Daphnia pulex: one gene and its partner. The protein of the gene in region 2 purifies or fractionates together with the protein of the main gene of each other region. This does not show direct contact. Links are inferred from orthologs where the notes say so. Each region holds a gene or a part of one and is shown on either strand. Other genes may lie near its edges. The genes, in order: E3 ubiquitin-protein ligase NRDP1-like and protein SGT1 homolog.

Region 1 (15,511 bases), on a different chromosome or scaffold from region 2:
AGGTGGGGCGTATCATCTATCCAACAACAACAACAACAACTACACACTAGATATAGTACTATTTTTCTTTGTGCGGCGTATATGTGCATGTCCGACTCTTGTTTTGTTTTTTTATTAGGCACGTCACGGGGTTTTCATCTAATGCGACTGGACAGGAGGCAATCAGGAGCCTCCCACATTTTTTGTTTTTTTGTTTTTGAAATTTTGGCGCCGAAAATTTGAATTTCGATCGGCGGAAATTTTGACAAGTTCAGGGCGCCTATTTTGAATTCAAGTCGTGATGGTCCTGCGCTCTGGCGGTAAGCGACTAGTCGCACGGCCTTGGCCAAGGCCGCGTTCAACTAGAAAGCGTAGCGTGAAACACTGGGGAGAGTTTGACGGGATTAGGCGGCGGCGGCGGCGGTGGTGCTGGTGCCAATGACCGACATACATCAAGTGCCCAGCTGAACACATTTTGTTTGACTAAGTTTGGCCGAGACAAAGTCAATAAGCCTCTCCGCCGGTATTGCGTAGAGTCCAACCACGACCCCCCACCCGTGGTAAAAACAAAACAAAATAAAAAGATGGTAGACAAATACAGACATGGCCGCTCCCGCCCTGTTCCCGCTCGACTTCTTTGAATAAATAGCCGCGTGCCAACAAGTGCCGCGCACCAGACGTCACAATCTATTCGTCTGCGTGCATTAGACGACCAACAGATGACGTTATTTCTGTCTTAATGATTGGCCATGGCGCAATTAAATTTCTCTCCCGTTTGATTTCTCCTCTCATCTTTTGCAATGGCGGAGGGGCGGGAGATTGATGGCCGCTAGGCGGGGCGGCCATGTCAGATGTCGATCGAGGCCCCCCTTTTTTCTTCTCTCTTCTTTAGAAAAAAGAAAAAAAAAAACATTTCGTGAAGGAAAACGGGAATCGGGAGTCGAGGGACGACGACAGCGGGAGCGGAACCAACGCCCTTTGAGGAGCCAACAGCAGCAGCAGCAGAGAACCTGGTATTGATTCTTGAGCTTGTGCCATTGACGTCATCACTTTTTGCTCTACGCTCCCGCCACCACCCCCCTCCCAACCCCACTTACGGTTCTTTTCCACCTCTCGGGCCAAAAAAAAGAAGGGGGGGGGGCGGGATAGAGAAAACCGTTGGTATATAACACGGAAAAACAGCCAAATAAGAAAAAAGAAGAAAACGAAAAAAGTAGGAGTTTGAGAGATTGGACGTGGAAAGGTTGGAAAAGGGGGGGGTTGGCGATGCTGCATGGCGTCGGCGTCGTGATGAAGGTGCTCCCCCCCCCCAACCGCCACTCCCGTCCGTCAGTCCGTCCCTATAGCTTCGGTGTAGTCGCCGTATTTCTAGGCAGGTGCCATCGGGACGTCGTTGAGTGCGCTTCGGCGTTTCCAGTGACTCCCGCACACACTCGATCTCCTTGGTCTTATATTTTTGATCGTGAGCGAATCAAACGATTTTGTCGTGTTGTTTTGTGTGTGTTTGTGTGGACCAGTCAGACACTATCAACTCCCCACCACCACCACCACACAACATTGTTGTTTGAGTGTTGTGGTTGTTGTTGTTTCAACCCCCATTTGCCATTTGCCATCAAAGAGTTGTATAATCACGGGCTGTGGGGTTGGCAGCTCCTCGAGACGGTGCACTGCAATGTCAGCCAGGATGTAAGTTTTCGACTTGTCACTTGATTCTTTTCAATTTTTTCAATTGGGAGATGGCGGAAGAAAAAAAGAGTCGTCCTCTTGACACGTTGGTGGCCCATTTTGACACCTGGCCATTGCGTCACGCCCTGGTGGTGGGAGGGGCCTTTTTTCTTGATAGACACGGTAAAGATGGATGATTGACCGCATCGCGGTCTCACATTCACGGCGCCCCGCTAACGACACTATGTCTGTCCGTCGTCAAAGAAAATTCGATCCCGAATTTGATGATGGGGAAAAAGAAGAAAAAGTAACGCGGGAGAACGACGGACGACGTTGTTGTTGTGATCATCTCCGTGTTTTTCTTTTGACTTGTTCTTTCTTTCTTTTTGGGAGGGTTCGTGTTGCCAGGACTCTCTCTACCCCGTTGCTCCGTGTGTCCTTGATCTTCAAGAATGTTGTGTGTGTCTATTTCTTTTCGTGAGTTTCTCCCTCACGTTCGGCTTCACCCGTTAGTGTGTTGCTGCTGACGCAGATCACAGTCTTCTTCATCCCCTCTATCATTTTCTTCTTTTTCTTCTTTGAGATAAGAAAAAAAATAGAAAATAAAAAAATAGTCTCTGCGTGATGAGCTTCTACTTTTCTTTTTTCTTCCATCGACTGGATGGGACATTTTCCCTCCGTTCGGGAAAAAAGAAAAGGAAAAACTCTGACTGGCTCCTGGCTCCCTCTCTATTTATTATTTGTAAGCTATACACAAGAAGGCAGTGAGTGAGTGAGTGAGAGTAAACTTTTTTTTCTGCTTCTCCTTCACATATTTAAGAGTCTGCCATCCGGTGAAATATGTAGAAGACGCCGAGATAGATAGACTAGTAGTAGTAGACCGAGAGGCCTATATACGCTTTATATATATATATATATATGTACGCCTGGAAATCAATACTGGTGTATGGCAATCAATAGCGGGAGACACTCCCGCCCGAAACATACGTGTGCAGACTATGTGTACACCTTTTTATTTAAGACTATTTTTTTAATTATTTTATTTTATTTTTCTGCTTTTTTTTTTATTGCGTTTATTTTTTCTTTTTCTTTTTGAAAATGATTTTTCTTTTTGCTAGCGACTGCGTTTGTCGCTTTGGTGCAATCGTGTGGCAACGCCGCACCAACTTTTTTTTTCTTTTTCGTTTGGCACAACTTTGACAGTTCGAATTCGTCGGCTTCTGTGTCACCGCGTGATTTTAATAAAGAATTGACTCAAGGAAATCATGTGCCTCTCTAGACGGCCGAGAGACCAAAGGCTTTGCCTGCGGGAATTAGACCAACGTAATCAGGTTAGATTCATCCAGCCCTAGTTAATGAGTTGGGCTAAGTATCCAGCCACAGCAGACAACTTATTCACTGAGCAGTAGAAGTGGAAGAAGATCGAAGAAACTACTAGCGTGCGTCGACTGTACATGTTTAGACGGGGAATTAAGACGTCGAGCAGTTTTCTCTTTTTCGTTTTGCCACGGTCTAGTTGAATTCGCCTTGTCCATCACACACACACACACACACTGTGTATGTCTGTGTGTGGGTGTGTGTCTGCGTACTGGTTACTGTCCACTCGTACAAGAGCTCATTATTTGTAGCTAATGTGGCAAACAGACAAGTGAAGGGGGGATGAACAGTGACATGAAGCGTGGAGAGAGAGTGAGGGATGTGGAAAGATCCCTGTTGAGAATTCAATGTCACTCATGTCTTTACTATTTTTTTCTCTCCCCGATATTGCAGGAAGACTCTTGGTGGGCCAACCAGTGGTCTCCCTGGACGCTGCAGGACTGCTGCTGCTGCTGCTGTCTCAAACACAAAGTGGCTCAGTGCAGTTGGATTGGTTCGCCCAGTTGCCCAGCATCATCATCGCCCGTCCACCCGAGTTGTGAGTTGTAGTGTCACGGCCACGTTGGTGCTGGCCGTCGTTGGAGTAGCCGTTAGGTCTTGTCCAGCCAGCAGAATCCCAAACAAGAATGATCTCGACCACGTCAGTCGTTGGGCCAGCAAGGTCGACGACGCAGCGCAAACGCCAACGATTGGATCAGCTGGTCGGCAGAATCGCCCACTTGGTCGGCAGTGCTCCCATTGGTAGGATCACTAATAGCGCTCATTCCAGTGTCGGTTGTGGCGGTCCCGTCGCCAGGAACAAGAACCGCAACAACAACAACATCCGCAGTAGTAGTAATCATAGTAGTCTCCGCAACAACAACAAAAACAACAACAACAACAACAACAATAGTGAGCCGGAGATAATCGAAGGCATCGATCAACGCGGACGCATTTGCGTCAGTCTCTCCGAGGAAGAAGAAGAAGAAGAATACGAAGAAGAAGAAGAAGAGGAGGAAGAAGAAGAAGAAGAAGAAGAGGAACCCGTGTCGGTCAGCATGGAGTCGTCGGTGGGGAGTGGCGAGTCTCCGTCGCCGCAGCAGCAACAGACTTTGATGTCCATGTCTCGATTGCGGATGCGGGGCAATTTGCGACACATCCAGCACGTCCACCACCTGCATCCGCACCAGCACAGTGGCGGCCAAGTGTTCAGTTTCGACCACGTCATGCCGGCCGTCGTGGCGGCGGCCGTCTGCTCGGCCCAGCGCAGCGCCAGCATGACGCAGAGCGACGAGGAAGGCGAGGAGGAAGTGTTTAGTCCCGGATTGGGTCTCACCTCGTCCTACTCTGACCGGCTGAGTCAACTCAGCCCGTGCAGTCAGGGCAGCGCCACCTTCGTCGACTCGCCCAGCGGCATCTCCTTCAGTCCGCTGAGCTTTGCCGCCGAACCGCCGGCCAACGACCAGACGGACCCGTCGGCCACCGCGTTCACTCGCAGCCGATCGCTCACCGTGCCGGACGCGGCCACGCCCCTCAACTTGTCCACCAGCGGAGGAGTCAAGGAGAGAGGAGTCGCTCATTATCATCATCCGCACCAGCACCACCAGCTTCATCATCATCTTCATCAGGCCATCACTCCGCCTCACGCCTCCAGCTCGCCGTTTCATCATTACATCAGCAGCCTGACGGGCCAACCCATGCGCCCGGCAGCTCCCGTCTCTGGCGGCTCCTTCCTCCTCGACGTGGTGGAGCCGTCGAATCGTAGACGGGCCAGGTCCGACTCGGATTTGTGCAGCGATTCCGTTTCGGAGCGACTGATGGCCGGCGGTCAAGTCGAATCCTCGTCGAATCACCAGGCGACAACAACGACGACAACACCTCTGGCCGCTCCGGCCTCCTGGGTCCTGACGCCGGCCATGTCCGCCGCGGCGTCCCAGTCGCTCAACGGCAGCAGCGGCAGCAGCAGCGGTGGTGGCAGTGCTGGTCACGGCCACCACCAGCGGCTGAGCCGACTGGAACACTTGCGGCCGCCGCCGCTGATGGTGTCGCTCAAGCGCAACTCGTCCGACTCGACCGACAGCTGGTCGCCGCTCTTTGGCCAGCAAGAGTCTCCCGTCGACTTGTCTGTCCGCTCTGGCAGCAGCGTCAGCTCCGACAGCCCCAACCAGACCAACAGCACCAACACGAGCACGGCCTCTGTGTCGTCGTCCGAGTTGTTGTCGGCCTTCTCCTCTCCGCTGTGCGGCGGACTGGAGACGCCGCCTCCGTCGCATCCGTCGCATCTGACGGCGACGTCTTCGCGTGTGGGCAAATCGCGCGGGTCGCGACTCAAAGCTCTGACGCGCAGCCTGTCGCTGTCGCAGTACCTCTCGGCCGTCGAATATTCCTCCTCGTCCGTCGACTTGTCGGCCGACAGCGAGGCCATTTCGCCCATCTCTATGGCCGCTCCGCTTTTGCTTCCGGGCGGCCCCCATCCGGCCGCCTTCGGCTGTGAGATTTGCGGCCAGATTTTCGACCAGCACGACCGGCTGGTCAAACATTTGACGTCGCGGCACAAGTTGCCCGTCCAACTGCAAAGGACTTCAGCCCTGCTCAACGGTGGCACCACCAGTGGCGCCACGACCCCAACCATTTCATCGTCGGCTGCAGCAGCAGCAGCAGCTGGACCCGTCCCCTCGGCCGATTCCGGCGTGGTCGTCAAGGGCTACCAGTGCGAAGTGTGTCAGCGGCCGTTTGCCCGCAGCGACATGTTGACTCGCCACATGCGGCTGCACACGGGTCTCAAGCCGTACACTTGCCGCATCTGCGGCCAGGTGTTTTCACGCTCCGATCACCTCAGCACCCACCAGCGGACGCACACGGGCGAGAAGCCCTACCGCTGCCCGCAGTGCTCCTACGCCGCCTGCCGACGCGACATGATTACCAGGCACCTCAGGACGCACACCCGCAGCGAAGACTTGGACTTGGGCCATGTCTCCGATCCACGGTGCAAAGATTCCGGATAAAAAAGAAAAATTCCGGAATGACATCCCCCCCCCGTTTTTAATAATCTGTCATTGATTGGGTGTTTTTTTTTAATTATTATTTATGTGTGTGTCTTTGCTACACATCTCGTTTGTTCTACTCGTTTCTTTTTGGCCCCTCCCACCAATAGAGAGGGTGGGGGGAATCCGGAATGGATTGCGTATGGCTAAATTCCCAATTCACATTGCGGTTGTGTGTCTAAACAAAGGCAAGAAAGATGGCGATGATGTTGTTGTTCCGTGAAAAAGATTTCATATTTGGTTTTCCTAATTCTCTTCCGAATGGAGGATTGAATAGGAAAGCGCATTCATCCGCAATTTCTTGCGGTGGAGCTTCCGTTTTCTCCATCGACAACAGCAACCAACTCTCCCAATTTGCTCCATTCCAATTCGTTGACTCGATGACCTGAGTATCTCTCTCTGTGTGTGTGTGTGTGACTTCGTCTTTCCATTTATAACCTCCACTGTTGTTGCTCTCACCATCCGCTGGTCGTGTCTTATTATGTCGCCATTTCGATTATTTGACCTTCTTCCCTCGTTTCCACTCCGCACAGACTCACGCAGTGAGTACACACACACCACACGTATTTTGATTTTCCACCTCTAATTAGCGAGTTGGATGTATTGAAAAAAAAGACAAAAAAAAAAGAGTCCCATCGACTGATTGTATCATGCTATGTATAAATTACCTGAGACTGTGTTCAAAAATTGTCACCACAGAGCCGACGACAACAACAACAACCATTTCTCCTGCTCCTCAACCCGTTTCTTTTGGTTTTTGTTGTCCTCCCAGCGTGTGTGCTGGTTGCGCGGGTCTGTGGACAAGTCGTGTCGTGATTACCCACATTATCTTTCTCTCCCTCTCTCTCTCGTGTTCGTGCTCGCGCGAGCGAGATTGAGCTCACTGGCCGTCATTATGGAGCGACGACGACGTCTTGCTGCGCTTCTTTCCTCTCCCGACCCCGCCCAATTTGAGACGAAGAATTATTGAGGTTAAAGCGACAAGGAGAAGAACAAACAAATGTGTGCTGCAGTTGCGCAGTGTGGGCTTTTTTTGATTATTTGATTTTCTTTTTTTTTTGTTCAAAACCGAACGGACCTCACAGATCAGATCCGATTGTCAGCAGATTCGGGATCGTCGGTTACCCCCCATTTTTTCCCTTCATTCTGAAACTCGCTCACCCCCCTTACAAACTTTAATTGCCGTTTGATTCACCCCCCATCTTTTATTTTCTCTCTCTCTCTCTCTAAATAGATATACAGAAGATTTTATATATTATATTATCGATTCTATTACGTCGAAACAAAAGCCAATCATTTGTCTTTTATTTTCCATGCGTGTGTGTGTGTTTCAGATTCCAGAAGCTCAGTACAAGAATTGTATATACATGTTCGCACAGACACAACAAACACAATGTAGTTTTTCTTTGACGTTTGATTTCGATCCAACCACTTTATTATTACGTCTCTCTCTCTCTCTCTATCTCTCTCTGGCTCATCGATTTTGTCCTTAATTGTGAATAACTTGTTTTGAAATCATCTCTTTAGCTTCCCGTATCATGTTGTTTCACTACCCGCCGATCCTTCCCCTCCGCCATTCGAATGGAGACGAAAACAAAGTTTCGAAAAAGAAAGAAAATCAACTTCATTAAAAAAGAGGAAGTGTTTTTGAGTGATGTGATTAAATACTCGGATGAGCATGGCTATGTGATGTAGTGCGATTACATCTCCAAAAAATCCACCCCCAACCCTCAACCCATTTCCACACTTTGAAAAAAACAAAAATGTTACATAACATGTGTGACGATGATGTGATTATAACTGAAAAGAGAGAAGAAGTAAACCCGGTTTGAAAAAGATAATAACAGAAAAATAATCGACGAAAAGATAAAAAAAAAATACACACAAACACACACTGTCTATACCATACGATTGACTTCTCAGTTATTGTTTTATTATTTATTATTCCGCAGCATCGGCGGAATATACTATCATTATTTGCACATAAAAGTTGATGATGAAAGAAAACAAGATTTTTGCCATCATTAATCAAGTATCGAACATTTACAACCGCCGAAGAGCGGGGACACCAATTGAGAAACATTTCAAATAAAAACCTACACCTAGCCCCCAAACTGAGCACGATTCAATGAAAGTAACTGATGACGATAAACAATTCGAAAAAAGATAAATCAGATTCTTTTAAGTAAGTTGAGAGGACTGCTGCTTCTGAACTAAAGGACAAAAGGGACAAATTCATTAGTGTCAGCTCGCTGGAGTGGTCCAGCCGGTCGCGAGGACACTGAAGACAAACATGTTGTTGGATTAATAATCTGACAAGAATTCCGGGGTGTCACTCTACACCGTGAGCAAAAATCATGATGAGACCCGGTTCCAATATCATATCTGGATTCATATGTCCGTTGTCGCAGGCCATGACGGCCACGGCTTGTTTGCCCGGAATCCTCCGGCAGACATAGTTCTCGTATTGACGCCGGTTCAGCTGGCGGATTTCCAACGACGACAATCCCGTCGGCCACCGCCGTTCGTGGGCGTTTTCCATCAGATCCTGGATGATGTGCGGTGGGCAACCCGATTCGGAAAGGGCTCTCTTGATCATTGCCTGCAACTTTAAAAGGTTATCGTATTTGATTGAATGTATTGAGCTCGCCAACTGTAGGATATTACCTGTAGCACCGTGTCCGGAGTCGAGATCATGCCACCCCAGCGCAGGACTCTCGCCTTGGGTAGAGTTTCGGCCCAGCGTCTCACTTCGTCGGCTTCCATCTGATCTGCCAGAATCCGCAGCGAAGGATTGGCGTTCCGCATGGCTAGCATGTAGTCCTTCAGCAGCTGCAGTTCTCGTTTCTGTTCGCTCATCTGAAATTTGCCCTCGGCTACTTCCGCCTGCACCTCAACTAGTTTCGATTGCTGGGCCTGCATCAACGAGCGCAGCTCTCGCACGCAGTTGTGTTCCTGGAAATGCAATCAACATAAATAAGGTACTATTTAAAGTTGTAACCTGTAAAACAACCCACTTACTTTCAACTCGTCTTTTGGCACAACTAGCCCACAGCCGAGCTCACATGGCACCGGTCTCTTTGGATTGAACTCACATTCTTGTACATGAGACTCCAGGGCATCTAGTTTCAATATTGCAGTGCACCCATAAACAGAGTTATCACAAGTGAGCTGTAGTCTAGAAAAATAATAGAGAAATGGTACAATTTCATACTGATAATAAGGTTTCAAACTTCCAAACCACCAACCTGTATAGTAGGTTCCGAAGTATTCTGGGAACAGGTCTCAGCTGAGGAGGGGTTATGTTTTGTCTGTCGACAGGACAAGTTGGCTGTCTCGAGAGCCACTCGTGAATGCAAGCAGAGCAAAATGCATGCTCACAGTTGGGTGCCTGAAATTACAAGTCTATTAAATCCATCACATTCCCTCTGGGGAAATTTTATTGCTACTCTCGCTTTTGGAAGCGAACTGTCATTATTACCTGTAACGGATTTTCGAGCACTGAACTACAAATTGGACACAACAATTCTTCATCAACTTCTCCTTGAAATCGATTTATTTCAATTCCCATTTTTCTTGGTTAACAAAACGGCCAAGAAAACTTTGACCTAATTAAGTAAACACACCTGCTTCTCAGTAAGAGTTCGCGTTTCTTTCTTTTTTAATAAAGGGGGAACAGAATTGACGTACCTAAATAAATGCAACAACAAGGTGTTGCAGAGCCATCGGGCGGTAGAAAAATTAAACCGTAAAACGCAGTCTGACGGTTAGGGAACGAAGTTTACATATGGAAGTGCCAACGTCACTTCTTTTCATTTCAAACCAATCCTTCAAATGCTGAACATGTAAGTTGATCAACACGTGGTTATTCTGGGTTTTCTAATTTTTTAGTTTCTCATTTAAGTTTTGAAAACGTAGTTGTAGGATATGGTTAACGCTCTTAACACAGTAATTAGCCTGAACATTTTTAATATCTATATGTGTATTGCTTTGGTAAGGTTGAAGTCTAATAAAACCGACTTTCTCTAAGAAGTATATTATAGAGAAAGAAGCCTCAGGTTGGTCTGGGGTTTCTTTGGTTAAAATGGACAAGTTTGATAATAAGTAGTTTTAAGTGAAATTCCATGTTCAGTCTGAAATCAATGTTGCAGTAACGGTCATGAGGCGAATGAAATTTCCTCTTGTCTAGTAACTAACTTGTCAATTTAAGTTGTTAATTTGCCTCATGTAGGAACAGGTTTGATTATATCTCTTAATCTGTTCATTTTAGGTTGATATCTTCAATGCCAGGAGGGATGATGGCAGATGAGTGCAAGGATCGGAAACAATTTTTGAAGGGCTGTGAGACAAATCATGCATTTAGGCTACATTGGTGCCTTGAAGACGACTAGTTTGGAAGGTAAAAACGAATTCCTATTGTATATGGGTAAATAGTCCTGATGACCCTAGGATTACAATGAAATTTAGTGTACCTAAATTAATATTTTGATTAAATCTCTATCGCAATATTCTGAAGTGTAGACCAAAGCAGTATCACACTGAAATGGTTTGTAGATTTTCATGATCAATTATGTCTAGATTGATTTCTGACCTCACTTGGTTTTGCACCGGTTGGTTGTAACCTATCTTCCAGAATTCGCTGATTTGAATGTAATCGAGGAATAAAGGTTGGTTTTCTTATCATATATGTAAAATATGCTGTTGGATTTTGCTGATGACACTCTTAGGACACCTAAATATGTACCCTGATTACTAAATGTGCTGAAAGTATCGAGTGACTTGTCGTCATTTTGGTCTAGTCCTCGCCTTAACGTTATATCGTTTTTACAGAGAAGATTCCATGCCAAGACATTTCGTGGAGGATGGATGTCGACTGTTACGGCTATGGAGCCAATGGAGGAGGTATAGTTATTTTTACATTTGCATTTGAGCCTCAGAGTCACCGGTTTAACGCACATGTAGTATTCCGGTGCTAGAGGATCTCATAAATTAAACGTCTAACCACTTATGCTCGATCTGTATTTATTGCAGAGGTTGATCACCTCGGTTTGAGACAATTTGTTTTGACTTTACAGGAAGATTTAACATTTTAATGGTGTTTATTTTTATTTTTTTGCAGGCAGTGGGTGTGCATTACACTAGATGAGATACAATCATGAAGGTGTTTGCGATTCTTAGGTAAATGGACAGTTTTAATGGTTTCTTTTGGATTTTTGTGATGAACAACAGTTTCCTGTGTTTCTGACAACCATGAAGACCCACTCGAGTCCCTGATAATTCAGGCTTTTTAATATCATTTAATCGGCTGTAAACAAATATTGACGATTTGTTTGGTTCGTTTATTCAGATTGTCTTGTTTAACAACCGCCGTCGATTGTTGAGCTACTGGGCCAAAAACTGGAGTTTCATTTTCTTTCGTTTCGAGATGCTGGTGATTTCATGATCTACGTAGTGAGTAGAGAGAATTACTTGTAATGTTTAACGTAAATTGAAATGATGAGAACGCTTAAAAGCATTTTCCGAGTTCCATGATGATTCATTCTGCCTTCCTTTTGATCTTTAACTGAGTTGACGATATCAGCGATACAAACTGATGTTATAGATTTATTTTTTTCTGTAGGTAATGTGGTATTGCTTCTTGGTCAACGTCATTGGAATCCGAGGAGTTCATTTTACACAAGGTAAATTTTTTTTAATGCGAGACTCGGCAAACAGGTTTGTTTAAGGAGACAATTGTACGCCAGGTTTCTTATTGTCCTGTTTGCAACATTAAAGCGAGTCCCTGAGGCCTTTCTTGCTTTGTTTTTTTTTTAAGCAAGGGGTTGGGCAACCGGACAAATTCATGAAAATAACTTGTGTTTTTTGTGTGTTCAGATGGACTGGTTTATTGTTCGGTGTTTTTTTTTTTTGGCGCCATCTTCATAGGATATTAGGTAATAGCTCAATATGTTAACGAATTAAACGTAAATATCATGATGAACAATTGTTTCCTGTGTTTCTGACAATTATATGAAGACTCACTCGAGTCCCTGATAGATTATTTATCTTAATCTGCATTTGAGCTACTGCTTTCTGCACCTTAACGATGATTTTATTTTGTCGTCTTTTTAGGTTGCTCGGTCGGTTGTCTTGGAGTACTTGGCGAGCATGTTATTGGGTATGTTGTGTTGTTTGTTGGTTAAATTTTTCTTATCTAATTTAATAATTTGGTATATCTAGGTCTGACTACGGTCTATTGGATTGTTGGAGATTTTGTTTATATACGTTTTCTTGATAAATCCCTGTTGTCGAGGTAAGAATGGTTCGATTATTGCGATCTTGGGCAAATGATATTTTGTAAAGAAATTGCTGAACACCAGATTTCTTTTTGTTCAGTTTGCAACATTAAAGCGAGTCCCTGAGGCCTTTCTTGCTTTGTTTTCTTAAAGCAAGGGGTTGGGCAACCGGATAAATTTCAATATTATCATTTGATTTTCTTTAATAGGGATATATGCGGTGAGACGCTGGATCTAATAGTGTCGGCTTAAGGAGTCCTGAGGTAATAGAGAGATTGATGTCAAACCTTCATTGTAAATTTTGTGATGACAAATGTTTCCTGTGTTTCTGATAACTATGAAGACCCACTCGAGTCCCTGATAGTAGATAGACATGTTGGTGTAAAGAGATTAGTTTTCTCCTAACGTTATTCCATATTTTAGGTGTGTTAATTTTCGATCCGTTGCTTAACGTCTGTGGGATGGTATGGAGCTATGAAACTTGCACAAGGTAATTTGAGTTCATATCACTTTAAATTGTTACCAGTCTGATGAAAACGAGTTACCGTTTGACCTTAATGAAACCATTAATATTGGCTGTATAAAATCTGAATGTCTACGCTTAGACATTTACTTTATGTTTTATAAATCATTCTAAAACTTTTTTTTTGTCATTCAGTTTGTCGCAGTTTTGAAGGTCTTTGGATTTGGAGCGAAGTTTATTGTAAAGTTCCGATACAGCAGTATGGACGAAAATGTTACTGGGAAATTAGTGTCATTATGGGAGAAATTAGTAACAATAGATAGACTTATGATCTGTGTTTGATTCTGTTTCCTTTTCCAATTGCATAATACAACATGATCACTATGTGTGTATAATCTGCCTGCTTATTTGATTATTTCATTTCTAAAACTGCTGTTCTAACAAGATGCTTGAGTTGGTTGTAACCTATAAACTCAAGTTTAAAGCTAACTTAGGCTGTTATGCACCTAAATTTTCTAATGGTACATGTGATATTCATTTAATTATATGCCCAGTCTCTGTCAGATTGGGTTGTGTGGAAAGGATTTTTCACCTCCACCATCGTTTATGATTGACTTTACATTTGCTGTTGCCTTGTAGTATGTAGCCTAATAGAATGCTACAATGAATAGGAACACATTCTGAATAACTGGCAGGTCTACCTTACCAACACTGGGTGTTATCACTTTCAGCAATCTATTCTCCAGCACTGTTGCCCAGGTGCTGAAACGTCTGGAATCACTTGCAGACAACATGAACGGATATCTGTCTTGATTGCCTTCTCCTCAGTGTAGAAGTTGAAGTGGCGTTCAATATCACCTTGGGGATTTCGTCTTTTTTGATGTGTGATGCTGCGTGTGGCTTTTCGATGAAATTTTTCATGGAGAATATTACGTGAGTATCAAAGTTATTTGTTACCTTTGTTTGTCAGTTCTTTTCAATTGAGTGTCACCGAGTTACAGCGGACATTTCATGTTACTTTAAAACGTTTCTTCTTTCTGACACTAGACAGCATAGCCTTTGATCATTTTTACCTGTCAGAATCAGTTTAGTTACGTCAACTTTAAACATCTCTGTAGATATTTCTCAATGCTACTTCAAAAAAATTTTGGGTGATAACTGTCAGTTTTTGTTTCAGCAACAAAGCTCACTTGCTAGATTTTTAATAATATGTTTTTTTTTCTACTTCCGGTTTTCCCATTTCAGTCAGTAGTTCAGTAAATATTCATTCGACGCACAAAATAACCACATATTCGTGATCCTCGTCGAATTTGTGGTAAAGTTCATGTTTTCTTTTGTACGTTTTCGTACTTCCGGTTTTGAAAATTTTCCTGAACTATAGTTCAGGAAAATTCTCGATTTTGGCCAAAATCTGGATTTCGTTTAAATTACATCTAATCGACCCCAAATTTCACGTAGATCACGAATATTTGGTTTATTTTGACGACAGCTCAATGGTAGAGGCACTATCGCTTACTTCCGGTATACTTCCGGAAAATTTGCATAAAACTAGCAAATGAGCTTTGTTCTCTGTACTAATCTCAAGATTTCAAGCTAGGTTTAATAAAGCAAATACAAGTGCGTTGTTCAAGTTATACAAGTAGCTAAAGAACTGAATTGCTTTGAGTTTATACATGGCACATACAGAACTGCAGCTCGATAACCAGTGCGGTAAAACATTATCGGTACCTAAATATGTAATATTTCTGTTTTTATTAAGATCTACAATTTCACTAGGATTCAAAAATTTAATGCTGTGTCTCACACAACTAAAATTTCGTTTTTGATTGTTGGGACTTGGAGTGTCAGAGTTGTCCAATAGATGACATAGGCGTCGTCGTTTTCATGTGATGGCGGATTGTTGTGTTGAGTGGTTGTCAAAAGTTTTCCTTTTTTTCCATGAAAATTATCGATGAATTCATAAGTAAATTCAAGTTTTATACAGACGATCAGTTCGTCTGCTGTCGAACCGATCGGACGTGTGTAAGAGGTGCTCCTCCTGGATTGAATTTTTAGAGTGGAAAAACTTGATTTCTGTGCTGTGTAATCCACCACCAACATTAAACTTGCAGTGCTCTTCAATCTGAACTCAGTTTTGTCCACTTTGCTGTATATACTTTATTTTGCCATTCCATGCTAATCTCGTCCCTACGCACCACGCTACGGCTCGAGTCATCTCTCTTCTCCGCCAGATGGCTGCTATCCAGCACGCCAACAACGCCACTAGATGGCAGTAGCCACCGTTCCTTGAACGGCTACTCCATATTGAGAAACCATATTGGCATATGGGAATTGGAAGTTACTGATCAACCAATTGGACGAATTGCTCACTAGGCTCACTCGGCACTCGCCTAATTGCTTCGGCACGAGTGATTGGGCAAGTCAAGTTTTATACAGTTCCTCTTCTCATTTAATCAAGCCGGCGGAGCCGCCTTTTCTCTCAGTGACCAGACCAACACCTAGCGGGATAACTCCCACTGACTCACCGATCATACTACACCAGAGCTACTACACCGACCAAACTACACCACCCCTCCTACTACTGCGACATTGGCGAATTTGGACGACATTGGAAGTGAAGTAGAAGTTAGACTGGCGTCCATCATCACCTGGGAATTTCGTCTGTTGAGATCTGCGATTGGCTTCTGGGTGAAATGTGGCAGGGAGAAAATTATTCAGTAGTTCAGCAA
Region 2 (15,311 bases):
ATGCTGGCTGGACGTAATCTGCATTTGCGCGGGAATCATGATTAGTTTGGTGCTGGTCATTTCTCAACAAAAGACGTGAGAGATGCTGCTGGCGATTACCGTTTAAAATAGCAGGTTTCAATAACTTAAAAATGGCCCAATCCCCCTCTACTGCATATTGAGGCCAACTGCCCAGCTGTCCACTGGTCCATTGGACGACTTGACGATTGCGGTCGTTGCTGTTGCTGCTAAAGTCGTGCGCTCCCAACGTGATGGTTGTAAAGCCGCTCCATGACAAGTTTCCTTTGCTGTCTAGAAAACAGCTCATGGCCGTCACAAAGGCTTGGTTGCTGATGAGAGTTCCAGCGCACGTATACGGCCCTCCATCCTTGTTAACGACGAGGTGGACCATCCACGGAAACTCGTTGGGATTGGCTTCCGTTCCACCCAAGATCCTCGACGACGTGAATTTCGATCGGCCACATTCAGTCGCCAGTGCTGCAGCACATCACGTAAAGTATACGCTCAATTATAGAAAAATAATAGTTTTAATAATCACGTCTTTGAGTTGTTGTTGATGTAGTTGTAGTTGTAATTGGCGCAATCATTGTCCACTTGCAATCGAACGTGTTTCCATAGTGAAGCAGTTGAGATTCCACCACAATGACGTTGCCGTTGGAAGTGTAGACTTCATCGACGGTTGGTGGATCAGCCAAAACCACCTGTCCGTCACGTAACTATTCTCCAAGCAAATTTGAGTGCTAAACATTTTTTTTAAAAAAAAGGTACAAAATGGTTTTACTTTCAGAAAACTGCAACTTCTACTAATCTGGACGATGGAGCAAGTCATTTGGATGCGATAACCGGGCGGTGCCACGATGGAAAAGGAACACATTTTCGGCGATGGTCCCACTACCAACGGATCCAACGGTTGAATGATTCCGCTGGTTGTCGTTGCATTGTAGTCACGACAAACTATAAATGGTTAGATTCAGTAAGCTTAACTGTCGATTAGATCATTAATTAAATTAACACAATTATTTTACTTTTGTACGTTGGTCCACAGGGTGCGTCTGCATTTGCGGCTTTGTCAGAATCTGATCCTTGAAGCTCATCACCTCCCAATTCGGAATTGTAAACAAATTTCCCCTTTTTAAAAACGCGGTGCAAATGTAACTTATATTTTAAAACTTATTGAAATAATCAAAATTTTCCTTACATTGTAGTCGTCTTCAAAAGTGGACTCGGCAATCGCCCAATTCCACGACCAAGCCAGTAGTAATACTACAGTGACAAATCGAATCATAATTACCTTTTTCGACGAATGCTATGTTGTCGGCGATCACAGGTAATTTGACATCGCCTTTTTATAGGACTCACATTCTCACTATATCGATTGATTATTTTCACAGAGTGTTTAACTTTTTTTTTTTTTGGCAGGTGGTCCACAATCGCAGCAAATAGCCCAACCCGTACAACAGCAGTTGGCGCACTGTTTGAATTGGAAAATTGGGTTTGATCAGTTGCTAAAAATTTGAGTAAACGCGGGAATAAACGCACATTGACATTAAAAACATGTGTGTTTGCTGACATTGCTTTCCATATCCCTACTACCAAATCAGTGGCATTTTTATTCCAAGCCAGACAAGTAAAAATGTTTTAGAAAATGTCATTGAATGTGTTGTGTGTATTGCATTTACTTGTCAGCTTGCTGCTATTGTTATCGCATTTCAATATTTAAATGGCAACAAACTGTTGCTGGCGCATATTTAAATATCAATTCACAAAGTAATAGAGACGTTAAACAAATTCGCAAAACACCATTAGTTTCAATCCGATTCGCTTTTAGAATTGTACACAAACCATTTAATCAAGTCGATAGCAGTCGGATTATTAGCTCAAGAATTTCAAAACAAAGAGACAAAATCATATTACACAATTGAATTTAGACAACTCCACTTCTTTTTTAAGGAAACAAACATCACTTCCTTTTTTCCGGAATATTTTAAACACTGAAATTAACAAAAGGATGAAAACAAAAAAGGCAATTGATTGATTCAAGGGTTATTTGGCGATGTGGCTGACTGTCCTAATCGGAGAAGTCTTCTCTGTCGAATGAATTCAACCGAATCGGAGATGGCCGACGATGTGGAGGCCTCTGCGGTAGACGAAGATGTTTCCCCGTGATCTTGACTTAAACTTAAGCTAATGGCTCGTTTCAAATCCTCGTCGACAGTGCTGATGCTCGCCTCTGGGGCGATAGCTGCTGGCAGTTCTTGACCGTGCTGACTGCTTTGCAAACTCTGTAGAATGGCCTTGTTCAGGGCTTCTTGGTCATCCCCTTCTTCCATTTCTTTCCAGCTCATGGCTAGTGCAGCCTTCAGTTGTTCGTCGTCCTCTTCTGGTTCTTGTTTCTTGGTTGGGGCTTTTCTAAAGTGGCGAGGAGAGAGGGGGGCTAAACTCAAGACCTTGTCAGCCTCACAACTAGGCAAGTCACCTACAACTATGAAGATGGAATATTTGTCAGTCTGCAGCTGGGCCAGAAAGAGGGAAAGATATGTGTCGGAAAGGAGTTCAGGGCCTGACAGGATGGAATTGAGATTGAACCATTGTCTGCCTAGTTTTCGAATAGAGAACCAGTGGTCTCTGTAGTGACAGATGAAGGCATTTTCATTTCTGGAAAAAAACATGAAATGTGTTGTAATAAATATTTTGAAATATTCCTGCATTACATAATTACATTGGGCACTGTCTGGTCACAGCTGCACGTGGATCTGAAGAATTGTAAGGAATCAGTTCTAGTCCCCATACCGAGAGTGCTTCAGAGATGACTTGGACTGAAAAATAGCCACTGTCATCCACATTAGATGATGGTTCCTAAGTAAACACATTAGTAATTTTATTTTGTTGAAAACGGAAACAAATTATGATGATGAAATTTACTTGAAGGAACCGATTGTATTCTTCACTGGAGACTCCAGCTTCAGCCATTCGAGCTCTCTCCTCTTCATCGAAACGATGCCCTATTGTAGCTAGATCAACAGCAGTAAAGTAAGGTCCTTGAAGAAGCGCATTTAGACAGTGTTGTGCGCATAACGACCCTTGTTGCTATAGATTGACAAGACATGATTTAATACGTTTCTTGGTTCAACACATTACACAGTGTTTAAAAGGCAATGAACCATACCATAAAAGAATAGCAATACCTTTTCGTGAAAAATAATATCCATATTTTCAAAACACCGAAATAATATCGCTGATTCCGGCTGTCAAACTTTTTATCAAGAAAAATTAGTCAGTAGGATTTCACAACAAAACGTTGCCATTCGTTTATTATTCATTCGTCAGTTCTCAGTTGCCACATTTTTAATCAAGTAAACTAAACGATTTAAAAAAAATAAAAGACAGTTAGTGTTTTTAATTACAAAAATTTGAAATTACTGTTATTTTATTTCAATTCTCACATTACTTTTTTATTTAATATCAATAATTAACTATTTTTCTAGAATCGTCTGCTAGTCCATAGGTTTTCTTTTCATCACGCACACCTGGTCCCCTATTCAAACGAGTTATCTGCTGACTTCCGCCGGGTTATTAGGATTAAAATTGAAAAAAGACAACTGTAAAAATTGTTATCCAACAGCCCCATTTTCTTTCTTGCCAAAATATATACAGTAGTGTTTTGATTTAGGTAGATTTTAACTCGATAGAAATAAGGTATGAGCAGGAACGTTGTTTCCACTCCGGCTGCTACGGAAGAGAGCTTTGACTTTCTACCATGGACTATACAAACAGTTAAAAGCCACATTCTTCCTTCCAAGTCAACTGGAAACTCACCCAGTAAAGATCGCCATGCTGCTTTTCATGATCTATCAATCCCCCATTTGCCTGACATGGTGTTTCCCGATAATGTTTTAAGAATTCAGCTCTCCAACGGCTCTGGAATCGAATTCAATGCCTTGGATGCCTTGAAGTTAGTAAATGACAAGGAAGATCTAGTCAAGGTTGCGATAGCAGAAGCTTGGAAAGAATCCAGGTAACGATCATTTCTAAAAATTACCATAATGTGCTTGCTTTATTCATGCCATCTTTAATTCTTAAATCAGAGCAGACATGAATGTATCACACAAAGTAAGCCATCCATTTGACTGGACCTTTACAACAGACTATCGGGGGACTGTCCTTGGAGATTTGAAAGTCAGTGCAACCGACTTGAGGATTGACATGGAGAAACTGAAACAAAAGGAAGCCATTCTCTTCTTTGATGAAATTCATTTATACGAGGATGAGCTCGCCGATCACGGTTGCGCCTCTTTCTCCATCAAAGTGGTATGAATCTGCATTTTTTATTCACATTCTTTGTAAAGTTGATATCAAATGTTGTCACTAGAGAGCCATGCCAAGCGGATTCTTTGTTTTATTGCGTTTCTACCTGCGCGTCGATGACGTCCTTATCCGCATCAACGACACCCGACTCTATTACGAGAAAGATAATCAATACATTCTGCGTGAATACACATCAAAAGAGAGCAAGGCTAAGGACCTCAAGGTATGACAGTATTACAAAATTGATTACAACGTACAAAAATGTCTAAACAATTCAATTCGACAGGTCCCTCGCGTCTTCTGGGGTGATCCCAACGAAATTTCTCAACACTTGTCGCTCTCTCATTCACTCTACGAAAAACTGGAATTTTAGAACACACATACAAAAGCATTCACGACTAATAGCACGTTTACTTATTGTCGAAAAAACGATTCGCTCTCACATTACATTGCATCTTTTCCCTTTTTTTTCTTGCTGGGATTGAATTGAACTGCTTTCAATTTAGCGTGAACTCGACGCATTTTGTGGACGCCCTTGAATTTTGCCTTGTTCTCCTCGGGCACGACGACGTTGTAGTGATACAATCGGTGCCAACTTTCTTGCACTTCCATCATTAGGATTTCGCAGTCGATTTCCGTGCTGCCGTCCACCTGCAAGTGTCTAACTTTAATCAGCTCTTCGACTTTTTCCAGTTTTTCTTTCGTAGCAGCCAACCAGGTGGCCCCCAATTGGCGGATCCATTCCCTGATGTGTTCCGTCGCCGCCATTTTCAATTGTTTCATCTGCAGAGTGACGCAAGATGTGACCACCTGGGCCTCCATTGCACCAACCCTTTCGCTCCAGTAGTTTCGGTAATGTTGCATTTGCTCGTCGTATTGGGACAATGTGGGCGAGGTGCCTCTCAACTTTTCACAGGCTCCCATCTTGTTGACACTCCACAATTCCGCGCAATCTTTCCACCTGTCGATGATGCCCCTTAGTTTTCCCACTAGGTGTTTGCAGTGATCCTGGTCCCGCTGGAGTGTCACTTTGAGCAACGGCTCACGACTCAGCCGGTCGTAAAGTGATCGTTGGTCCACCGGCAAGGCGTTGCACGATCCTTCCTGCCATTCAGGCACCAAGGAACTGCGTTCGATCCAGTGATGGGAGATGTTGGATATGTCGCGTTCGATGGATTCCAAGTCCGGCTCGACCACCACTTTAGCATCTCGGAGGGATAATTGAATGACAAACTGGGCGGGTCCCTTCTCAAGTAAATTGGACAGCGCCTCAAACAATCTAGTTTGAACTGCTTTCAAAATTACCACGTAAATCTTCTCTCGCCAATAGTCGTAATAGTTTTGCAATTCAGGAGCCGATCCTGTTTGCGAATTGCACACGATACTCTCCACCTAGAAGCGATTGAATTACGTCAATGTAAAATTTTATTGGTACGTCATTTTTTTTTACCTGGAGAAGAATGGGTGGCAATTCGGAGACGATCCGCCTCACGTTGAGGAAGAATTCGTCTCCCGATTGACTCAACTTTTTGAAAAACTGGTCAGCAGAGGGCGGGCCACTACCGGTGACTGGGTTGAGGTCGTGCTGAGACTCGACCAACAGTTGGAAATCGTTAATCTGGGCGATTCGTTTGTCCAAAACAGAAGAGATGAGGGCCACATCTTCCGCCATTCCCTGAAATTTCTCGACACTCTCCATCAGCTCCTGGATGTAACTGGCCAGGCAAAGGGAAGGCCAGGTGACGTGAGTCGTTCCTAAATTCAATCCGTCCTCCACCGAAGAGTAGCAGCTGGTGAGGACAACAAATTCGAACGGGGTAAGTTTCTCGACCACCGAGGTCAAACGTTCCAGGATGGCCACGATGGCTCGATTGTGATGGATCAAATCCGGTTTTTGCATCAGTAAAATGTGGCAGACGTGCGGAACTTGGAATCTCGTCTGTAAAAACAATCGAGTTTCGTCCCAAATGGTTTGCAAAGTGTCTTGAAGTGTCGTCACATATCCTTTGGCTGTCTTTTTCAGGATGGGCTGAGCCATGGCTTTGTTGGCCCGTTTCTGCACAGTTGTAAACCATTTGTTGTGCAATTTATCCTCTGTCGACTTCAAATATTTGGCCAATTCAATGTACTGCTCTTTGATCTGTTAAAGAAGTTTAAGTGTAATTTTGGCATTGAATTAAGTGCACCCCTCGTTACTTTGGTTGATGCGGCCGTTTCGTCCCAATCATTTGGATGAGGAAAAATGGTGAGCAAAGCTATTTTGACTCGATGGTAGAGTAAACGACGTTCAAACAGTCGCTGGGCCATGTCAACATTCTCGGCTTCCTTCTCGTTCAAGTAATCCGTCATGTCGAATCCTCTGCGGATGAGGCGGATCTCGGTCGACAATCGACTCAGTTGCTCTCGTTGATTTTGTTCCAGGAATTCGTCCAAAGATCCCGAATGCGTTCCAGCCAGTGAATGAGACTTGTCGATGATTTTCCGTAGCAGTTTCAATCCCTCGAACGAAGTGCTAATTAAAAAAGGTATTATGTTTTATTAATCAAATGAAAATGTTGTAATTTTACTGAGCATCTAGGACGTGTTTTATGGTGGATTTGATTTCCGCTTCAGTCAATTTCTGAGCCGCTTGGTGACTTTTAACAAATTCCTGGAATTCTTCGTGATTGTCAACCAAAAAGAGCCGGATTTCCAGTTTGGAAATCCTTTTTTCCAATTTGTCTCGAATTGTGGCCATCAGCCGCTGACGGGCAAAGTAGTCGTCGATCTGTTCCGACATCTCCCTCAAAGCTTTTGTCTCCTACAACATTCTAGAGGTAAAAAGAAAATTCTATTCAGTTTAATTTTATTAATACCTTGATCAGAGACTGGACTGTTGAGATGCTATCCAGGACTGTACGAGTGGCCAGAAACATGGCGTTAAATTCCGGGCCGGTTAGTTTGCCGACCACTTCCAGTTTGGATTCTGCCCATTGAATTTCCCACACCTTGAGGGCGTTGACGACCAATTCCACTTCCGGTTTGAGTAGATTAGTCGGTTGCAGGACGTGCAGCATCCATCGGGCAAGAATGTGAGTGTTGTTGGCCACCAATTCGGAAAACTTTGAGTGAATCCCTGATTTTGCACTGGGTTGCAGTATGACAGCCTTTAACGCACTGGCCAGGGATTTGACGTAAAGATCAATCCTTTCTATCGATCTGTTTTCTGAAAAAACCTTTTTAAAAAAATTATTTTTTAATTAGGATTCAGAGAAAATTTCATGGATGAAATATTCACTTGAATTGGATCTCTGACTAGCCGGAAGAGTTTGAGAGTGTAGTGGACTTGGCGTAAGGATGATTCCGTCTCTATCGTCACTTCTCCCCAATTTTGCACCATCCATTGTTGCTGATGGCTGAGATCAATCAGTTGTTTCTGCCAGAAGACGGACTCGTCCCTCAGTGTTGGAAAATTTGTCTTTTCATTCAAAAATCAATTTAAAATTTACATTTTTTAAAATTTAAGGATTGTAATCAATACCGGATAGCCTTTACTTGAGGTCTTTGGCTTAATGGGATTTTCAACTTTGGTGAGATCGCGATCTTCAATCAGCAGTAAAAATTGAACTAATATTCTAATGTTGATACATTAAAAATTTTACTTTCTTTAATGTTTAGTGAAATGAAAACTTGTATACTCTTGAAAATCAGTCAGTGTGTCGAGCCATTCCCGATTTTTTTCGTTACGCGCTAAATGCTCCATCATTGGAAGATAAACCTGATTAACCAATCGATTAAATTGGTGGTAAGTTAAATTTAATTTGAGGTTGAATTAAACCTTTTGTAATAATAAAGCTAGTCCTTTGATATCAAGTTTAGAAAGCTCCATGGTGTAAATAAAACTAGTTTGAAACGGTTACCGTGGCAACTAGTTATCGATTTCTGGACAAAACAAAATTGTGGCGCAAAAAGAACGATTTATTTTCAAAAAAGAACCCGAGATGAGGACAAAATCCAGGAGGCAAATTAGAAGCAAGTTATTTTTCTGTGTTTAACAAAAAACGGCCCATTTAAATGTATAGGACGGTAAAATTATTTTTCAATGGCAGGTAGTTCATTTCTCGTCCCACTTTTTGAACTCGACTCCATCAGGCGGTTTGACTGTAACTTTCTCTTTGGCTACTTCGTCCCAGTTTGTGCTGAGTACAGTTCCACCGGATTCTTGAAACGACTTGTTCATGGCTCGGCGGATTTCATCCGATCCTTCGCCATAAATCTTTTGAAACAGATGATTGAGAGCAGCTTCCCCTTCAGGTGTCTCTTCTTCTTCTTCCTTCTTGATATCCGACTCAATCTTGTCCCAATTAATCTTTTTGGCAGATGATGATGGGTAGACCGGTGGCTGTTCAGAAGATAATGCAGCAGCTACAGGAATCTGCTTGACATTGTCCTGCAATTGGCCCTCGAGTGAACTCCACCGTATACCATCGCATTTCTTCATTTTGATCTCGACTTTGGTTTTCATGACTGAGAAGAAGCTTTGGTCAGGCACGATTGGGTAAGACAAATTCAAATTGAGCTCGTAATCCGTTTCATCCGGTAGTTTTGCTTTCATCGCCATCTATGAAACACACATTTTAGTGACAATAACTTGTGACATTTTTTTTAGATAAAAACTTACTGTTGATGCAGCAAAATCTACTTTGACAGCATCAGGGTTGAGATTCTTGGCGAGAACAGTAACACAAACATGACTTTCTGTTTGGTACCAATCATGCTTGATGACCAAAGGAATCTTTCTAGATTTGGCAAGTTTTTCTTCTGTCCAAGTAATCCATTGTCTGACACCATCTGATGGATGTTTTCCTAGAATGAAAAGCTGCTGCACTGAGTATTCATGAAAAATGTTGAAATTAGTTACCTCCATGTTTGTAGCTTTCCTGGAACGCTTCAAGTGCCTCTTCAAACTGTTGCAGATGGAAGCAAGCTATTCCTTTCCTCAAGTGAGCTTTAGAGTCGCTAGGATCCAGTTCTGTGGCTTTTTGAGCATCACTTTTGGATTCAGCAAAACGATCAAGTTTCAGCAGAGCATGAGCCCGATTTGTATAATATTCAGGTAAATCATCTACAATCTTAATAGCTTCATTGTACAACTAGAATTAAAAGAGAAGTGGTTAGTTTAGTGCTACCTAAAACTAAACTAGTCAAGCAAATCACCTCTACTGCTTCCTCATAATTTTCATTGACAAAAGCTGCATTGGCCTTACTGTAAAAGAAAAGTAAAGTCAGTCAGTGTTTCCATGTCAACAGCTTAATGTGATAACGAATTACCAAACCAACTCTGATGGAGTATCACAAGACATTTTTGCCTCACTCAAAGAGACCTGTCGAAAGACTCGGCAAACAAACGACTGAACTGAACAACACGTAAATTTTTCTAGAATTTCCGAGAAATGCTTTTTCCATTGCGGCGTCGTCTGGTAGCCAAGTGCTGCTAAACAGCAACTTTTAGATAATTTTTAGATAATTTCTGCTCAAATTTAAATTTCACATGCTTTGTTTTTAACAAATTAGGAAATTTTACGAAGGAAACTAGTTACCAAATGAATATTCAGTTGAATATGTTTACTCAATTTTGTGTCGTGAAAAATTCTTCAAAATTTTAAAACGTAATCTTAATGTTGACGGGTCGTAAAAATTAAGACTCTGATCCGTCGTCGACAAACAAAATTATCTTTCCACCGTGACATTCAAGTTTTATCAGATTCCAGCTTAAAATAAAAATGAGTCGATGTTTGCGCTCGGTATTCTAACAAATAAAACCACCATATTTTCTTCAAGATTCCAACATGTCCAACGTTTGTTCGTTTGCCGCCTGAAAAATACGAAATCCAATTTTTTAAAACAAATTACAAAAGAATGTTAGATTGCGCCAATAAATCATGCACAAGCCTGCAGTCCTAAGGCAATCGGAACTCTGCCCAAAATCTCTCAGGGTATTTAAAGTCTGTCGTCGGAACCCAGTAGCAATTAGTTGCCAAATTACACAGCGGTCGGAACGAACAATTACAAGATTCCCAAATAATAGAAAATGAGGGTCATTTTTAGTTTGTTGTCCATTTTCATGTTATTCGTCAACGGAAGTAAGCATTTCCTGTTTAAATTAATTGATTACATTGTAATTTCACTTGAGATTTACAGGCGGAGCTGTTGAGTGCGGAATTGCCAATCGACCAATCAGCAGAATAGTTGGTGGTATGGAGACGAAACCCAATGAATTCCCCTGGATGGTTTATTTGAGGGTTCAGTTTTGGAGCGGCGATTCCGCACAATGCGGTGGAACTCTTATCAGCGACCGATGGATCCTTACGGCCGCTCATTGCCTTTACGGAGTTGTTGACGTCACCGCCATACTGGGAGCGCATGACGTAACCAATTCCAACAGTTTACCAAGACAAGAATTCAGTACCAAGAAATGGAATATCCATCCACTTTGGTCTTACGGACAAGTGGAAAATGACATTGCCCTTGTTCAGTTGCCGGAAGCGGCCGTAATGTCCGGTATTCAAATGTCTAGAAAACCTTTAAAAAATAAAATGAATAATATTTGTTATCTCTTAAAATAGATTACGCTCGACCGGCCTGTTTGCCTTATTCGGATGACCCAAATTTCGTTGATTTTGATGTAACCATCACCGGATGGGGAAATTATTCCAGTTCCGGTAAATTTTTGAAATTTTAGTTGATTCGATTGCTAATTTAAACAAAAATTTATTTCTGCATAATTAGTTGACAGCGGAACGAGCCCAGTTTTGCGGAGTGTCCGTTCTTCCATCATCGATTCTTCCGGAATGACCGGAATTTGTCAGCAGAAAGCCTCCGGCGAAGTAGTGGGTCCTTTTCACGGCGACAAAATCATTTGCAGTGATTCGAGTTACAATCGACACTTTTGTCACGTATGAATTCTTATCGCAGAACAAATTCATTTATCAATTATGGACCTTGTTACATTTCAGGGCGATGATGGGGGACCGATGAATCTTTACAATTCCTATTGGAACACATATACGGTAGTGGGTGTGGCCTGGATTGGTGACACGAGTGTCGAATGTTCAATTTCCACGAAACCGAACATTTGCGCGCGTGTCAGTTACTTTATCGATTGGATTCACGACACGACGGGCATCCCCCGAATTCCCAGACCAACCACAACCACCACAACAACAACGCCTGCACCAACCACTGGCTACTTTACCTGTGAAGGAAAACCTAGCGGAATCTACCCGAATCCGGCCTGCGACTGTTGCACTACTTTTTACAAATGTTCCAACGGCTACGCTTATCTTTACGTAATTCCTTTAAAATTCATTTCCAAAGATTCATTCGTTGACTAGCTAATAATTGAAACATATCCAGGACTGTCCTGATGCTGGAACGGTATTTGATCCCGAAATATTGGTCTGCGTCTACCCGGAAAATTTTCCGGCCTGCGGAGGTTTAGCGCGTTGAAAAAGCTAGTTCCAATTCATTTTAACGTTTAGGAATAAGCAGCCGAAATAATTAGAAATGATCACATGATCATTTGCAATGAGACATGTTCACTTAACAATTAATTGAAATACAAATCGATTCTCTGGTTATATCTTCAGAGTGAATAATAAAAAATTCTCTGTAATATTTGATCATTAACCGAATTGTGTATCAAGGCCTTTGCACTTATATAAAATAAGGACATGACATAAGAACAGTCGAAAACTGAACTGAATCTTTGGTATCAGCATTTGAATATCCTATGTAGCACCGGAATATTATTCGTTCAATTAGATCGTAGGAGACACGCCTTTTTTTTAAATTGAAAATGCCTTAATCTTGATTTACGATCCTGATTAAGAAATAGATGACGCATTTTACCTGTCGCGTAAATAACAATGCATTATCGTTGGCATTCGTGTACAGTCAGTTTTATACTGCCGTAATTGAATGAAATTCATCGCAGCTTTATGTGCCATCAATGGATTAGGAAACGAAAGGTTTTTTACAATAACGATATGAATATTCATTCGGACTTGAAGCAATAAAAAAAAAGGACTAAATAAGTGGAACGATTGACGTCATAACGGACCAATTGTTTGACTTGTTTCGCCTTTTGAAAAAAATTAAATTCCCCTACGTTATCCAATAAATTACAAAGTGCATGTCGTATCTATCGAGGACCCTGTTGTGGGATCGAAAATCTATTTTTATGCAACTTGTATTGTCCCTATGACGCACATGGTAATAAGCCTCTGCAATTCTAACACAACAAATTCTAATTTCTTCAAGAAGATTAACACTGGTATTATAAATTGCTGTCACATCTTAGACTTTCGTCTAATCTTTTTCAAATAGGAAAGTTATTTGTAATTTACCTTGAACGATTATCGGTAAAATGACATGGCAAATGGCTATCCAGCCCCGCCCAAAATAAGGTATAAAAAGCGGACAGCAAACCCATCAAAATCCAACACAAACACCAAATTTGCTGGCTGCCATGGCGTACTCGTTTAGTCATCAGAAATGGACGGTGATGGCATTATTCCTTATTGGATTTTTGTCTTTTGGTTGGGCTGCCATTCTGTCCCGGGAGACTCAACAGCCTTGCATAGCCAATGGCAAGTTGAAATCCTTCGCTCTGGATCAGAATGCTGATTTTATCCCACTAGCCAATCAAGGTATTTCACCTATTTATTATTTCAAATAGTTAATAATTTTTCATTGAATGTTTCAAATTAGATTTCAAATGCGGAGTGGCCAATAGTGCAGTGTCAAGGATCGTCGGTGGGGAAGTGTCGGAACCGAACGAATATCCCTGGACGGTTTTTCTGAATCTTTACTTTTGGAGTGGAGATAGAGCTACTTGCACTGGGACTTTAATCGGATCCAAATGGATCCTAACGGCTGCCCATTGCACCTTCGGGTAACTTTAACCAGCTTTAACAATAGTTTATGCAATGTAGAATTTGAATCGTGAATTTCTTCAAGGGTTGTCAACATTTCGGTGGTTTTGGGGTCGCACGATACGTCTGCTGGGAACGAACCTCATCGTCAAACTGTTGTCGTTCCTGCTCAGAATATTAAAACTTATCCCGGTTATTATTACGGCAAAACGGAAGACGATATGGCGTTGTTGGAACTGCCCCAGGAAATCAACTATTCCAGTAATAATTGACTTAATGAATTATGAATTCAATTCAATCAAATAGCTCAATTTAAAAATATGCGCAGAATATATCTTACCGGCCTGTCTTCCGTATTCGGATGATTCCGACCAAGTTGGAGATCCCGTGACTCTTGCCGGATGGGGAAACTATTCCAGTACCCGTACGTATATTTTTAATTTATTTTTATTCGAATCAAATTGTTAATTAATTTTGATTTTGGATACAGCGGACTCGGGTTTGAGTCCTGAATTACGCAAGGTTCAAACGTCAGTTATTTCTTCATCCGGTGACAACGGCCAATGCCAACAACTGTGGGGCAACGGGCCCTTTTCCGGTGACAAAGTCATTTGCGGCGATGGATCCACCGGAAATCGTTTTTGCTATGTAATTTATCCTAAAGTTTAAATGAAAACGTTCGTAATTTTCCTGATTTTTTCTCTATTTACAAAAGGGAGATGATGGTGGGCCGATGAATTATTTCAACAACTTGACGGAATCGTACACGGTCGTAGGAGTGGCCTCGCTAGGTGACGCTACAGTCAACTGTCAAAGTTCCCGATTGCCTAATATTTACGGTCGAGTCCGGTACTACCTGGACTGGATCTACAACAACACTGATATCGCTCCTACTCCAAAACCGACAACCACAACGACAACCACCACAACAACTACAACCACAACGACGACCACAACAACAACCACAACGACAGAAGATCCGACCGTCTTTAGTTGCAGGTAAATAAAACAAAGAAAAGCCATTACTTTTTTCAGTGTGATGTAATAATAATTTGATTAATTTAGAAACAAACCGGACGGTATCTACGCCAATCCATTCGATGATTGTTCAATCATCTTCTACATGTGCTCCAATAGTAACAAATACGAATACGTAATTACATAAATTAAAGATAGCAACAAATAGTTTGGTATTAATTGCTGATTTCACTAAATTGCAGACTTGCCCAGATGCTGGAACTGTTTTCAATTCGCAAATTTGTGCATGCGATTTCCCATACAACGTACCGGCGTGTGGAGTCTCATCTTCGGATCCGGCCCAATAATTCTTCTGAAAATTTCCTCGGATCAAATTTATTTCAATTTCTATTGCTATTGTATTGCAAAATAATCTTACTGAAATTATACAAAATTGAAAATTCCCATATCGTTTCTTGTTTTTATCTTTTTATTTTTCAAATCTTTTATTTGCAATTTGCTTAGCGTTACTCATTTGTTTTCCATCGTATTCCATTTATTCTCTCTCCGACCTTCCGAGGGTTTTTAAAATGGCTCCCTTGAGGTTCGATCATAACAAAATATTTGTTAAAAAAGAACCCGATTATTGTTACAGTTTTAAAATCCTCCTGTTTGTTTAATGTGTTTAGTGATCTAATTAATGCAGATAAGTGTGGAGATGAGTCAGATGAACAGTTATATTTTCTTTTGTGTTGCTGAATCATGTAAGAGATAACCTATGCCTTGCTCAGTCTGGTTTACATTATCTGTTTTGCAATTTAATAACCTTTTCAATTTTTTTATCTCTGCTTTTTTAAAATAAAGTCTTTGCATTTGTTTGTTTACAGTAATTGTGGCTATATGTCAATAATGCCTTCAACAAGTGTGGGGGGATACAGCATTCGATAATTTTCTCATTGCATATCATAGGTTCATTTTGCCTATGTTCAATTATATGGCATTATTGAATTGATTATGATCTGATTCCTCGTGACTTTGCTGCCTGCTACAATAGACAATCCAGCGAATTTGTTCCTTGAAAATCCAATCCCTTGTTCCATGTGTTTATAAATTATACAACACATTTTTTTTATT

The links.
Region 1: the proteins of protein SGT1 homolog (region 2) and E3 ubiquitin-protein ligase NRDP1-like purify together in Homo sapiens (affinity purification with mass spectrometry; 3 studies listed by BioGRID and IntAct, with this or other methods). This does not show direct contact. The link is inferred for Daphnia pulex from reciprocal best matches to the Homo sapiens genes SUGT1 and RNF41.

What each region holds. Positions count from the first base shown.
Region 1 is NC_060021.1:11,011,029-11,026,539, reverse strand, and holds E3 ubiquitin-protein ligase NRDP1-like, read right to left. Parts: upstream 9,668-15,511; 5' UTR 9,616-9,667; coding exon 9,526-9,615; intron 9,436-9,525; coding exon 9,293-9,435; intron 9,223-9,292; coding exon 9,066-9,222; intron 9,000-9,065; coding exon 8,712-8,999; intron 8,653-8,711; coding exon 8,377-8,652; 3' UTR 7,946-8,376; downstream 1-7,945. Other genes in the region: uncharacterized protein LOC124194673, read left to right, coding at 3,648-6,005. UniProt on the Homo sapiens protein: Acts as E3 ubiquitin-protein ligase and regulates the degradation of target proteins. Polyubiquitinates MYD88. Negatively regulates MYD88-dependent production of pro-inflammatory cytokines.
Region 2 is NC_060023.1:196,005-211,315, reverse strand, and holds protein SGT1 homolog, read right to left. Parts: upstream 9,775-15,311; 5' UTR 9,648-9,774; coding exon 9,616-9,647; intron 9,551-9,615; coding exon 9,502-9,550; intron 9,438-9,501; coding exon 9,206-9,437; intron 9,151-9,205; coding exon 8,966-9,150; intron 8,906-8,965; coding exon 8,399-8,905; 3' UTR 8,242-8,398; downstream 1-8,241. Other genes in the region: phenoloxidase-activating factor 1-like, read right to left, coding at 1-477, 539-716, 782-954, 1,026-1,128, 1,199-1,285; ataxin-3-like, read right to left, coding at 2,037-2,655, 2,720-2,856, 2,923-3,087, 3,186-3,209; TIP41-like protein, read left to right, coding at 3,699-4,015, 4,086-4,308, 4,370-4,528, 4,592-4,678; dynein axonemal heavy chain 10-like, read right to left, coding at 4,750-5,697, 5,756-6,445, 6,502-6,817, 6,873-7,105, 7,161-7,520, 7,583-7,762, 7,826-7,919, 7,983-8,050; brachyurin-like, read left to right, coding at 10,376-10,427, 10,486-10,845, 10,911-11,006, 11,074-11,240, 11,301-11,633, 11,701-11,793; brachyurin-like, read left to right, coding at 12,815-12,995, 13,057-13,240, 13,306-13,481, 13,549-13,644, 13,711-13,868, 13,936-14,219, 14,286-14,373, 14,441-14,545. UniProt on the Homo sapiens protein: May play a role in ubiquitination and subsequent proteasomal degradation of target proteins.